Linked DNA regions of Macaca fascicularis. The protein of the gene in region 1 interacts with the protein of each later gene in a pairwise test. Links are inferred from orthologs where the notes say so. Each region holds a gene or a part of one and is shown in the gene's direction. Other genes may lie near its edges.

Evidence for each region.
Region 2: the proteins of FMR1 (region 1) and CYFIP2 interact in a two-hybrid assay, tested with the Homo sapiens proteins (2 studies listed by BioGRID and IntAct). The link is inferred for Macaca fascicularis from reciprocal best matches to the Homo sapiens genes FMR1 and CYFIP2.
Region 3: the proteins of FMR1 (region 1) and NUFIP1 interact in a two-hybrid assay, tested with the Homo sapiens proteins (2 studies listed by BioGRID). The link is inferred for Macaca fascicularis from reciprocal best matches to the Homo sapiens genes FMR1 and NUFIP1.

What each region holds. Positions count from the first base shown.
Region 1 is NC_088395.1:153,966,661-153,970,727, forward strand, and holds the start of FMR1 (fragile X messenger ribonucleoprotein 1), read left to right. Parts: upstream 1-1,232; 5' UTR 1,233-1,556; coding exon 1,557-1,607; intron 1,608-4,067.
Region 2 is NC_088380.1:164,060,823-164,064,836, forward strand, and holds the start of CYFIP2 (cytoplasmic FMR1-interacting protein 2), read left to right. Parts: upstream 1-1,192; 5' UTR 1,193-1,654; intron 1,655-4,014. UniProt on the Homo sapiens protein: Involved in T-cell adhesion and p53/TP53-dependent induction of apoptosis. Does not bind RNA. As component of the WAVE1 complex, required for BDNF-NTRK2 endocytic trafficking and signaling from early endosomes.
Region 3 is NC_088391.1:24,231,860-24,235,967, reverse strand, and holds the start of NUFIP1 (FMR1-interacting protein NUFIP1), read left to right. Parts: upstream 1-1,286; 5' UTR 1,287-1,322; coding exon 1,323-1,734; intron 1,735-4,108. Other genes in the region: GPALPP1 (GPALPP motifs-containing protein 1), read right to left, coding at 1,016-1,103. UniProt on the Homo sapiens protein: Binds RNA.

The sequences.
Region 1 (4,067 bases):
GCCTGAGGCAGGTCATCCTGCCTCGGCCAACGCAGTGCTACCAGTTAACTCTCACCTGCCATATTCCAGCTGGAATCATTTCCCCTTCTCCACCCCAGACTGGGTCATGTTCCGCCATCATGGAAGCACCTATTCTTCATATCCCTTATCACAGCTGCAACTCCTCATTTACTTGCCTGATAATTTGATTTATGTCCATCTACTTTGCTAGGTTCTAAGTTCAATGCTGGCAGTCTTTTCTTCTTTTTTTTTTCTTTTCTGTTTTGCTCACCGACTTCTCGCTAGCACTTAGCACAGTGCCTGGCACATGATAGGTACATAAACTTCTCAGTTGGGTACCAGCATCCCGAAGGGAACATGGATTAAGGCAGCTATAAGCACGGTGCAAAACAGGAATAAGAAAAAGTTGAGGTTTGTTTCACAGTAGAAGGTAAAGGGTTGCAAGCAGGTGCATCGGCCCCTGTAGACAGGACGCATGACTGCTACACACGTGTTCACCCCACCCTCTGGTACAGGGTGCACATAGAGTAGGGGCAGAAATGAACCTCAAGTGCTTAACCCAATTTTTAAAAAATATATGGTCAAGTGAAAAGTATGAAAATTAGTTGAGGAAAGGTGAGTACGTGGGTCAAAGCTGGGTCTGAGAAAAGGCTAACATTTTGAGGTCCTGACTCAATCCATGTCCCTTAAAGGGCACAGGGTGTCTCCACAGGGCCACCCAAAATCTGGTGAGAGAGGGCGTGACTCCTCACCCTCTGCCTCTACAGGTCACAAAAGCCTGGGTCACCCTGGTTGCCACCGTTCCTAGTTCAAAGTCTTCTTCTGTCTAATCCTTCACCCCTATTCTCGCCTTCCACTCCACCTCCCGCTCAGTCGGGCTCTCCGCTACTTTGAAACAAACCAAACCAAACCAGACATCCCCCGGGAATCCTAGCGAGGCCGAACTGGGATAACCGGATGCATTTGATTTCCCACGCCACTGAGTGCACCTCTGCAGAGATGGGCGTTCCGGCCCTCGCGAGGCGGTGCGACCTGTCACCGCCCTTCAGCCTTCCCGCCCTCCGCCGAGCCCGCGCACGCCCGGCCAGCGCCTCTGACGTTCGACCCGAATCCCCGGACGGTTCCCAGAAGCGCGCATGCGCGCGCTCCCAAGCCACTTGAAGAGAGAGGGCGGGGCCGAGGGGCTGAGCCCGCTGGGGGAGGGAACAGCGTTGATCACGTGACGTGGTTTCAGTGTTTACACGCGCAGCGGGCCGAGGGTTCGGCCTCAGTCAGGCGCTTAGCTCCGTTTCGGTTTCACTTCCGGTGAAGGGCCGCCTCTGAGCGGGCGGCGGGCCGACGGCGAGCGCGGGCGGCGGCGGTGACGGAGGCGCTGCTGCCAGGGGGCGTGCGGCAGCGCGGCGGCGGCGGCGGCGGCGGCGGCGGCGGCGGCGGGCGGCGGGCGGCGGCGGCGGCGGCGGCGGCGGCGGGCGGCGGGCGGCGGCGGCGGCGGCGGCGAGCGCCCGCAGCCCACCTCTCGGGGGCGGGCTCCCGGCGCGAGCAGGGCTGAAGAGAAGATGGAGGAGCTGGTGGTGGAAGTGCGGGGCTCCAATGGCGCTTTCTACAAGGTACTTGACTCCAGGGCAGGCCCCATCTTCGCCCTTCCTTCCCTCCCTTTTCTTCTTGGTGTCGGCGGGAGGCAGGCCCGGGGCCCTCTTCCCAAGCGCCGTGCCAGGGCACGCTCGGCGGGATGTTATTTGGGAGGGAAGGACTGGACTTGGGGCCTGTTGGAAGACCCTCGAGCCCCGCTCCGAGTCCGAGAGGCCCTAGCGCCTATCGGAATGAGAGACCAGCGAGGAGAGGGTTCCCTTTCGGCGCCGAGCCCCGCCGGGGTGAGATGGGGATGGGCGAGGGCCGACGGCAGGTACTAGAGCCGGGCGGGAAGAGCCGAAATCGGCGCTAAGTGACGGCGACGGCTTATTCCTCCTTTCCTAAATATCTTCTCCCAGCGGGATCCGGGCCTGACGTGTGGGTAGTTGTGGAGGAGCGGGGGACGCTTCAGCCGGACCGCCTCCTGCAGCGCCAAGAGGGTTTCAGGTCTCCTTTGGCTTCTCTTTTCCGGTCTAGCATTGGGACTTCGGAGAGCTCCACTGTTCTGGGCGAGGGCTGTGAAGAAAGAGTAGTAAGAAGCGGTAGTCGGCACCAAATCACAATGGCAACTGATTTTTAGTGGCTTCTCTTTGTGGATTTCGGAGGAGATTTTAGAACCAAAAGTTTCAGAACATGGCCCAGCAATGCATTGAAGAAGTTGATCATCGTGAATATTCGCGCCCCCCTTTTTGTTAAACGGGATATATTCAGGAATGCACATGCTTCAGCGTCTAAAACCATTAGCAACTCTGCTACTTAAAAATTTTGTGTGTATGTTTAAGTTTCCAAAGACCTAAATATATGCCATGAAACTTCAGGAAATTAACTGAGAGTATATTATAAATAGGGCATTTTTTTTTTTTTTAACTGAGCGAAAATATTTTTGTGCCCCTAAGAACTTGACCACATTTCCTTTGAATTTGTGGTGTTGCAGTGGACTGAATTGTACTGAGTTGTTGAGGCCTTATATAGGCATTCATGGGTTTACTGTACTTTATAAAGTTACACCATTGCAGATCAACTAACACCTTTCAGTTTTAAAAAGAAGATTTACAAATTTGATGTAGCAGTTGTGCGTTTGTTGGTACGTAGTTGCTGTAGATCTATTAATCTATAGATTCTCATTTCCTTTTGAACGTCTATAACCTCTTGAAATAATATCCCACCTTACTACAGTATTTTGGCAATAGAAGGTGCATGTGGAAGGAAGCAGTGTCCAGCACAATTCTTAAATGTATTATAGAATGACTTGAATGTTTCAAACAGGACACGTTTGGCTATAGGAAAATAAACAATTGACTTTATTCTGTGTTTACCAATTTTATGAAGACATTTGGAGATGAGTATATTTCATAAATGAGTAGAGTATGTAAACCGTTCCATACTTTGAGCACAGAGTTAAAACCTTTTGCTGTAAAAGGAGGCAAAAGGTAACCCCACGTTTATGTTCTTAACACTCTCATAAATATAAAATTGTTTCAGTTGACTCTGCAAAGTTTTAATTTCATTGATCGATAATTTCTTCTGGTGAGTTTGCGTAGAATCGTTCAGGGTCCTAGATTAGTGGTTTTGGTCACTAGATTTCTGGCACTAATAACTATAATATATATACATATATATGTGTGAGTAAGGGTTAATGGTTAAGCAAGATTCTGATTGATCTGTGATACAAACTTAGATTGGATGCCACTAAAGTTTGCTTACCACAGAGGGCAAGTAGCACATTATGGCCTTGAAGTACTTACTGTTCTCTTCCAGCAACTTATGATTTGCTCCAGTGATTTTGCTTGCAAACTGACTGGAATATAAGAAATACCTCCTATTTTGCTATTAATTTCCTCCTTTTCTGTTTCGTTTTGTAACGAAGTTGTTTAACTTGAAGGTGAATGAAGAATAGGTTGGTTGCCCCTTAGTTCCCTGAGGAGAAATGTAATACTTGATCAAGTGTGTGTCAGATAAATTGCTGTTACGTTTATTTAATTAAGTTTGATTTCTAAGAAAATCTCAAATGGTCTGTACTGATGGAAAAATAGTTTCTGTAACAAAAAAGCTTGCAATTTTTATATGACTTATAATTTTGCTGTGAGTTTAAAAAGTAAAGCAAAAGTAAACTGAGTTACTTGTCCAGTGGGATGGACAGGAAAGATGTGAAATATAAACCAATTAAAAATGAACTGCTGTGGATAAGTGTTACATTTATGGAAAAAGAAATAGGAACCTTGTTCATCAAATTGATAGAAAAGCTTTAAAAACTAAACAAACAACTTGAGTATAATTGAATTCAGACTTTGATTCGCCTGACATAACCACCATATTTCCAAGGACATCTCTCTATCTTCTGGTGTTTATTCTTAAAAACTTAAAAGTTAGATTTAGCAATCACCAGAGCCACTACTTTTATGCTTAGGTATTTGTTTGACTTAGAAATAAGTGGTCAC
Region 2 (4,014 bases), on another chromosome or scaffold:
TTTCTCTCTTTCTCGTTCTTTCTCTTCTCTCTCTCTTTTTCTTTCTTTCTTTTTTTTTTTTTTTTTGTGAGACAGTCTCACTCTGTCACCCAGTCTGGAGTGCAGCAGCGGGATCATAGCTCACAGTAGCCTCAATCTCCTAGGCTCAAGCAATCCTCCCACCTCAGCCTCCTGGGTAGCTGGGACCAAAGGTGCATGCCACCACACCCATCTTTTTTTTTTTTTTTTTTTTTTTTTTTTAATTTTTAGTAGAGATGAGGTTTCGTTGAGTTGCCCAGGATGGTCTCCAATTCCTGAGCTCAAGCGATCCTCTCTCCTCGGCCTACTAAGGTGTTGGTATTACAGGTGTGAGCCACCGGTGGGCAGATAATCGCTTCTTTAAGGAGCCCGTAACGGCAGATAAGCCTTGAAGAGAAAGGTACCTGTCCTTTCAGTGCTTCCTGTCGCCTATTTGTCCGTGAAGCAATTCCAGAATGAAGTTGAGGCAGGCCCCTGTTAAAGAGGTGGCAGCTTCAGGGACTCTTCTCCAGTGAACTGGAAGGGAGGGGAAGAACTTATTCTTGAGCGAAGAAGCCCCATCAGCGTCCAGGTTCAACTGGTGGAAGGCCCCCTCCCCTAGCCCCAGTTGCATCTTCAGTCACTTGACCCTGCTACTTCTCCTCACAGCACTTTGGGCTGTAACTGGACGTTAGATGGGTTAATGTACACCCGTCTCTCCTGGCAGGTGATAAAACTCCACGGGGGCAGGGACCCTGTCTTTTGTACACCAGTGCACACCCAGGTCCTGGCACCGTACATGGAACGGAATAGGTAATCAATAAAGATTGGGTTGATAAATGAGCACTCGGAAATCATGTGGGGCCAATGAAATCCGAATGCGGCCGAAGCTCTCGTTCTCGGGTTGCTGCAGGTGTGGTTCCTAGTGATGGAGGCCGTGGAAGAAGCCCTCCCTCCCTTTCCCGCCCCCAGGGCAGGAAGCCTGGGTGCTGAGCTGTCCTCTGAGCCCGAGGGGCAGGTCCCGGGCGCGCCAGCGGTACAGCGGGGAGCGCCGAGAGCCCCTCGCCGCAGCCATTTCCTGCCCTTTGTGTGACAGCCGCAGCGGAGAAGGGGCGGGCGCTGGGCGGGGGCGGAGCCGCGGCAGGCGGAGCGGCGGGGTCGGGGCGGGGCCGAGCGCCGCGCAGCGGAGCGGGGCAGAGCATCCTGCGCCCCGGCGCGGGGCCCTGCGGTAGCCTTGGGCCCCTCCCCTGAACTCGCCGCAGAGCCAGGTAAGCGGCGCTCGCAGGCCTTGGGCCGGGCACGGGGACCGGGATGCTGCCGGGGACGGGGTTGAGGCCGTGAGGATGCGCGAAGGGCCGCCCCCTCTCCCGGTCCGCGGGGGGCGCTCGGCGCTGCGCCCGGGCTAGCGCAAGGCCCGGCCTCAGGCCCCACGCGGCCCCTTTCCCCCTCGGGCCCACGGTGCGTCCCGCGGCACCGACCCTTTGCCCGGGAGGCGCGAGCACATCGCGGAGTTCCGGCGCAGCGGCGGGGTAGCCGCAGCAGCAGGTGCGCGGCCTGGGCCGGAGCCGCCAGCCCGGGAGGAGGCGGTGCTAATCTCAGGGACCGGAGACACCTGCGGTGGCCGCGAGCCCGGCGGCGGCGACATCCTCGGGTCCAGGTACTGCAGAGCGCTGGCCCCTGCCTCTGCCTCTGTGACCACCGTCACCTCCCCCAGGGCCAGCGAGAGCCGCCTGGGCCGGCCTGGCAGCCGCCTCGGGCACACAGAACGTGTGATGGGTGGGGCGAGGGGCGCAGCGGCGATGTTTGGGGGCGGAGGGCTTTGATGAGAGAGAAGCAGGTCTGACCCGCTTGGAAGCTTTCTGGCCTACACTAGCATCGCTCTCCAGGCTGGCCGCGGGCAGGATGGAAGTGGGGGAAGGGGATGAGTGGGCTGACTCCTGGGGGAAAAGATTGTTTTTTCTTGAGCTCTGAGGAACCAGGAAGAGGCTTACCTGTCTGTTGTGACGTCTGCTTTTCAAGACAACCCTACCCGTCACCCCAAGGAACAGCCCACCTATGTGCAAAAGAAGAAGAGGTGCTCTCTGCTTGGGGATGGGGGATGGTCCACAGAAGTATGGCCCTCTATACCCAGAACCCGGCTGGAAAGGACACTGACAGCCCCCCGGTGCCCCCCCAGCACAGGGAATCTGATTTTGACCTTTGCTTGCCTACTTTCCCCAGCACAGTGGAAACATTCACCAGCCCCTACGAGCCATCAGCTGTCCTTCCAGCTAGGCCAAGAATGGGACAAGGATCCTTTTCTGCTAGTTCCTGGGTGCCTGTGCCCTCAGCATGGGCAGGGAGACGGAGGCAGTCCTGCTGGCAGGAGGGGCAAATCAGGAGAGTGTCGGTTCCTGTGTTCCCATTTCCTGCCTCCTGTCTGTGTCCCAGTTAGGGCAGTGGGTCTCACCTTTCTCTTGGATACAGGCTGTGCCAGCAACCCGGGTCCCTGAGATCTTAGAGGGTAAAAATCAGGTCCGTATCTATGGGCAGGTCTGTGAAGGCCTTGACGGTTGCTTTCTCCACCATTAGACCCTCTCTTTGTGGCCCTCCTGGTGGCCTACCACCTCCACTTCCATACAGTGCCCTGCTCTTCCCCCAGTCTCCAGTGTCAGAAATTGTTTTCAAGAAAGGAGCCAATGATTGTGTTTATCTTGAAGAGCTGAATACAAAAGAAGTTCGCATTTGATGCGGAGCAGGTGCTTTACAAGTCATTTGACCAGAAAATAAACAGAGGATGGAGGCATTTTAATGGGAAACAAAGCTTTAATGGGAAACACTGTAGAAATATTTGCTATCGCTAATGGTGGAATTTCAAACAGTGGACTGGAAGTGGAGGTGGGGAGCTGGGTAGTTCTTTTGGGAACAGGTCCCTGAAATGACAATATCTAGCAGCTGTCAGCTCTGTATTTGGCAAGGGCAGCTTTGGCCCTGGGGGCAGGAATGCTGTAAGAGTGTGTGTGCATGTGTGTGCATGAGTGCATGTTTGTTTAACTGGTCAGGGGTTACTGTCACCGGAAGGCATTTTTTGAGCACCCAGTGTCCACTTTCAGGATGAGAAACTTGTGTACACAGGGTTCCTCGTTGGCATTGGCTACCCTTTGCCAAGGCAATTATTAGACCTCAAGAAGAGAGTGTTGTTTGCTTACAAAGTCAGTGCCTCTAGATAGTTCTACACACTGAGCCTCTGGCTGGGGGCATTAGCTCTCTGCTCACTAAGCTTCTTTATTATATTTCCTGGCCAGTTCTGACCGGTTCTGTAGGCACCCAAGGCTGCCTTGTTCAGTCCCTGCTGAAAAATGAAAAAGGAAAAACTTGCTTTAGGCATTAGGCCAAGAGTCGAATGTACAACCCAATGGGGTTAGAGAATTTTACTCAAATCAGATGCTGGCCCAGAGAAGGAAGTAGACATGAATTCAAAAACTGGTAAAAGGCCCTGGGAGAACTCTACATGTCCCCTCTGATAAATCATGCCCTCTCTGATGTTCAGTGGGCCTCTGCTGCTGTCATTGACCAGAAAACTGAATGAGATGAATAGGCAACAAGCCAATTAACGGAAAAGCGCTCCTGGAAAACAGTACGGGCCCCAGTCCCTACGTTTAAGGATTGGACTACACTCTCAAGGCGGCTTCTTTGGACCTCTGTTGGCCCCAGGGGTCCACCAAGAGTGTCACAAAATGGCCTTTTGTAGCCTCCAGGTGGCCACCATAACAATGAGTCTATTTCTTTACTGGCAAGTATTAATTATTCACTTGTAATTGACGAAGCCAGACATCAGTCACCTCACTGGAGTCTTTATGAAAGGCCTTTGGTCGTGTCATTCTGAGGAGCAAAGCCATGCCTAGGGTCCAGGGGATGGGGCCCCTGCATCAGTAGTGAGATGGTGGGAGGAGGGGGGCAGGCTGCTGCCTTCTAGGCAGTGAATGGGGGTGGGGGAGGAACTAGAATATCTTTGGATGCTCTTACTACCCGAGGGGT
Region 3 (4,108 bases), on another chromosome or scaffold:
AAAGGGGCCTGTAGTAGAAACATGACCTCCGGGTAGACCAGGAAGAAAAATTAGATTCAGAAATGGCAGGGCTACTCAGCTTTACTCTTCTCCAACTGGGTTGTAGGTGCTAGTCCACAAATGTGAATAAACATTAAAGCAGATAGGTATGCATGGCGGAATCTGAGAAGCATTCGTTTCGTATATACAAAGTGCCTGTTGCGTGTTCAGGTAGAAGCCCATAGTGCAATGGTGGGGACAGATTATGTCGACAAATTATTCAAATATAGTGTACCAAATATGCAATGTAATTAGGAAAAAACCCGAGGGCAAAAAGAAAGGCGTGACAATGCTTTGGGGAATTTGGAAAGGTTTTATTGGTATGACATTTAAGTTGGGCCTTGAAGGATAGGGAGATGTTTGTCAGTTATGTTTAGAAATGTAACCAGAGGAAGCCCAGAAGCCTAGAGCGTTAAGGAACTGCGCAGCAACTCAGGATGGATTGAGTACTGGGCTGATGTGTCAGATGCAATAACAGAATGACAGGCAAGGAAAGCAGGTCGGGGGCTGGAGAGAACAGGATCTGCAAGGTTCTTGTAAATCAGAAGGCAATATGGCACAGAGGTTAGGAGAAACGCTTCCTTCTAAGTCGCGCTCCATCACTTGCTAGCAGTATGATCTACGCTGGCATGGGCTTCGGCGTACCCATTTGCAACATGGGAAAATAGTCTTTTCCTTATACGGCTTAAATGACTGAATGGGTATCAGTCAGTTAGGGCAGCGTGCAGCTCTTATTAAGCGCCAAATGAGAATGTATTATCATCACGAAGCCAAATCACGCAAAAGCTCGGTTTCTAGGAGGGTCCCCCAGCCTCCTCCCCACTGCTACCGTTAGGGAAAAAAAGTTCTCTCGGGTCGGGCCGCGCCCACTCCCCATTCCTCAGCCCTCCTAGGCCTCCGACTTTCTTCAGCGAGCAGGGCCGGCCCAGGGAGGGGGTAGATGGGCCTGGTGGGCAGCGGAGACGCAGCCGCTTACCAGGGCTCGGGTCCCGCTCTTCGTCCTCCGCTGTTCCGCGGGCCTTGAAGCCGGGCGGCAGGGCCGGTCCGATTAGGTCTCTTGCCATCCGCGGTGGCTGACACTGGTCACAGATACGAGTCTATCCACGAACGTCAAAACTACCCAAATGGAATCCCGCGATCAGCAGCAAAGAATGGAAGGTTTCCCGACGCCGACCAATGACGTAAGGCCTGTGGTTGGCTGAGCGGCGTAGTTCACCGTAAAGGAAGTGACGCCTAATGCTTGCTCCACAGTCGCGTGCTAGACTCCGAACCCGGCAGGTGGTATGGCTGAGCCGGCTAGTGATTTCGTGACTCCAACCGGGTGGCGTGCGTCTCCCGAGCTGACTCCCACGTTAGGGCCGCTGAGCGACACTGCCCCGCCACGGGACAGCTGGGTGTTCTGGGCAATGCTGCCGCCGCCGCCACCACCGCTTACGTCCTCGCTTCCCGCAGCCGGGTCAAAGCCTTCCTCTGAGTCGCAGCCCCCCATGGAGGCCCAGTCTCTTCCTGGGGCGCCGCCCCCCTTCGACGCCCAGATTCTTCCCGGGGCCCAACCCCCTTTCGACGCCCAGTCCCCTCTTGATTCTCAACCTCAACCCAACGGCCAACCTTGGAATTTCCACGCTTCGACATCATGGTATTGGAGACAGTCTTCTGATAGGTTTCCTCGGCATCAGAAGTCCTTCAACCCTCCAGGTAGGCTATTTTTCCACGTGGGTCAACCCCTTTACCTTTTTTCCCCGTTCTTTCCTCTCCCGTTTCTTCGTTTCCTCACTCCACTCTGCCTTGCCTCTGCACTCTTGGAGTCTGGTCATTAGTATCTCAAAATATATCTGATTGGAATGTTTTCCTGTTGCCTGTTAATTCCATTTAGCAGTTGTTTATTGAATTCCAACTATGTACCAGAATTTAGGTATATAGCAGTGAGCAGAACATACAAAAAATATTACGGAGCTTAATATTAATATCTCTCTTGTGTAGGAAGACAGACAATAAACAAAATAAAATATTGTGCATTAGAAGGTTAAGAGTGCAGTGGAGAGAGATAAGACAAAGAAGAATGGTAAGTAGTGCAGGGTTTTCTTTTTTTTTTTTTTTCTTTTCTTTTTTGGAGACAGAGCGCCTCTGTCGCCCGGGGTGGAGTGAAGAGTAGCGCGATCTACTTCACTCCAGCCTATGCAATCTGCAGAGAGGCTCACTGCAACCTCTGCCGGGTTCAAGCAATTCTGGTGCGTCAAACTCCCGAGTAGCTGGGACTACAGGCCCGCGCCACCACGCCTGGCTAATTTTTTGTATTTTTAGTAGAGATGGGGTTGCGCCGTGTTGGCCAGGCCTGTCTCGAACTCCTGAGCTCAGGCATCCGCCCGTTTCGGCCTCCCAGAGTGTTGGGATTACAGGCGTGAGCCACCGTGCCCAGCCGGGTAGTGCAGTTTTAAATATCATTGTTAGTCATAAGAAAGGTGACATATGAGCAAAGACTTCAGGGAGGTGAGGGATCACAGCCATGCATACATCTGGGAGAATAGGGGTATAGGCAGAAGGAACTGCAAGTGCAAAGGCCTTAAGGCTTAGAAGCTATACATCAAAATGGGAACCAGCGTGGCTACAGAGGACTGAGTCTGGAGTATAATTGTAGAAGATGGGGGAAGAGGGTAAGACCTGGTATGTCTTTGTAGATCGTGGGACTTTGACTTTTACTGTTGTGAGGTGGGTAGTACAGGGGATTGACATGATCTGATTTACTTAAGAGGATTAATGTGTCTGTTGGTGGGAACTGACTGAAAGGGAAACCGGTTAGGAAGCTATTGTAATTACTTGTCTAAATGAGAGACACTGGAGACTTGGACCAAGGTGAAGCCCAAAGGATGGTGAGAAGTAGTTGGATTCTAGATCTAGGGATACCTTGGAGCTCTTGTGGGTTCAGTTACAGACCACTGCAGTAAAGCAAGTCACACAATTTTTTTTTTTTTTTGGTTTTCCAGTGCATGTAAAAGTTATGTTTTCCTGCAGATCATATGGGGCAAAAAAGTTATTTTTACATTATACCACAGTCTATTAAGTGTGCAATACCATTATGTCTCAAAAAACAACTTACATACCTTGATTAAAAAATACTTTAGGCTGAGCAGGGTAACTCACACCTATAATCTCGGCACTTTATTTATTTCTGTTTTTAAATTTGTTGAGACAGAGTCTCTGTTGCTCAGGCTGGAGTGCAATGGCGCGATCTTGGCTCACTGCAACCTCCACCTCCAAGGTTCAAGTGATTCTCCTGCCTCAGCCTCCCGAGTAGCTGTTATTACAGGTGTCCACCACCAAGCCTGGCTAATTTTTGTATTTTTAGTAGAGACAAAGTTTCACCATGTTGGCCAGGCTGATCTCAAACTCCTGACCTCAAGCGATCCACCCTCCTTGACCTCTGAAAGTGCTGGGATTACAAGCGTGAGCCACTGCACCTAGCCTAATCTCAGCACTTTGAGAGGCAGAGACAAGAGGATTGCTTGAGCCCAGGAGTTGAGACCTGCCTGGGCAACAAAGTGAGACCCCCGTCTCTACAAAAAAAATAAAATTAACCAGGCATAGTGGCATGCCTGTGGTCCCAGGTGCATGGGAGGCTGAGGCAGGAGGATTCCTTGAGCCCAGGAAGTCGAGGCTACTTTATCAACTGAGTTTGTATAATATTATAAATCCTTTGTTGTCATTTCAACAGTGTTCACCAGGAGTAGATTCCTCTCAAAAAAGCACTTTCTTTCCTCATCCATAAAAAGCCACTCCTCATCCATTAAAGTTTTACCACGAGATTGCAGCAAATCAGTCACATCTTGTGGCTTTACTTTTTTTTTTTTTTTTTTTTTTTTTTGAGACAGTCTCGTTCTGTCGCCCAGGCTGGAGTGCAGTGGCGAGATCTTGGCTCACTGCAAGCTCCGCCTCCTGGGTTCATGTCATTCTCCGCCTCAGCCTCCCAAGTCGCTGGGACTACAGGCGCTGGCCCCCATGCCTGGCTAATTTTTTGTATTTTTATTGGAGGTGGGGTTTCACTGTGTTAGCCAGGATGGTCTCAATCGCCTGA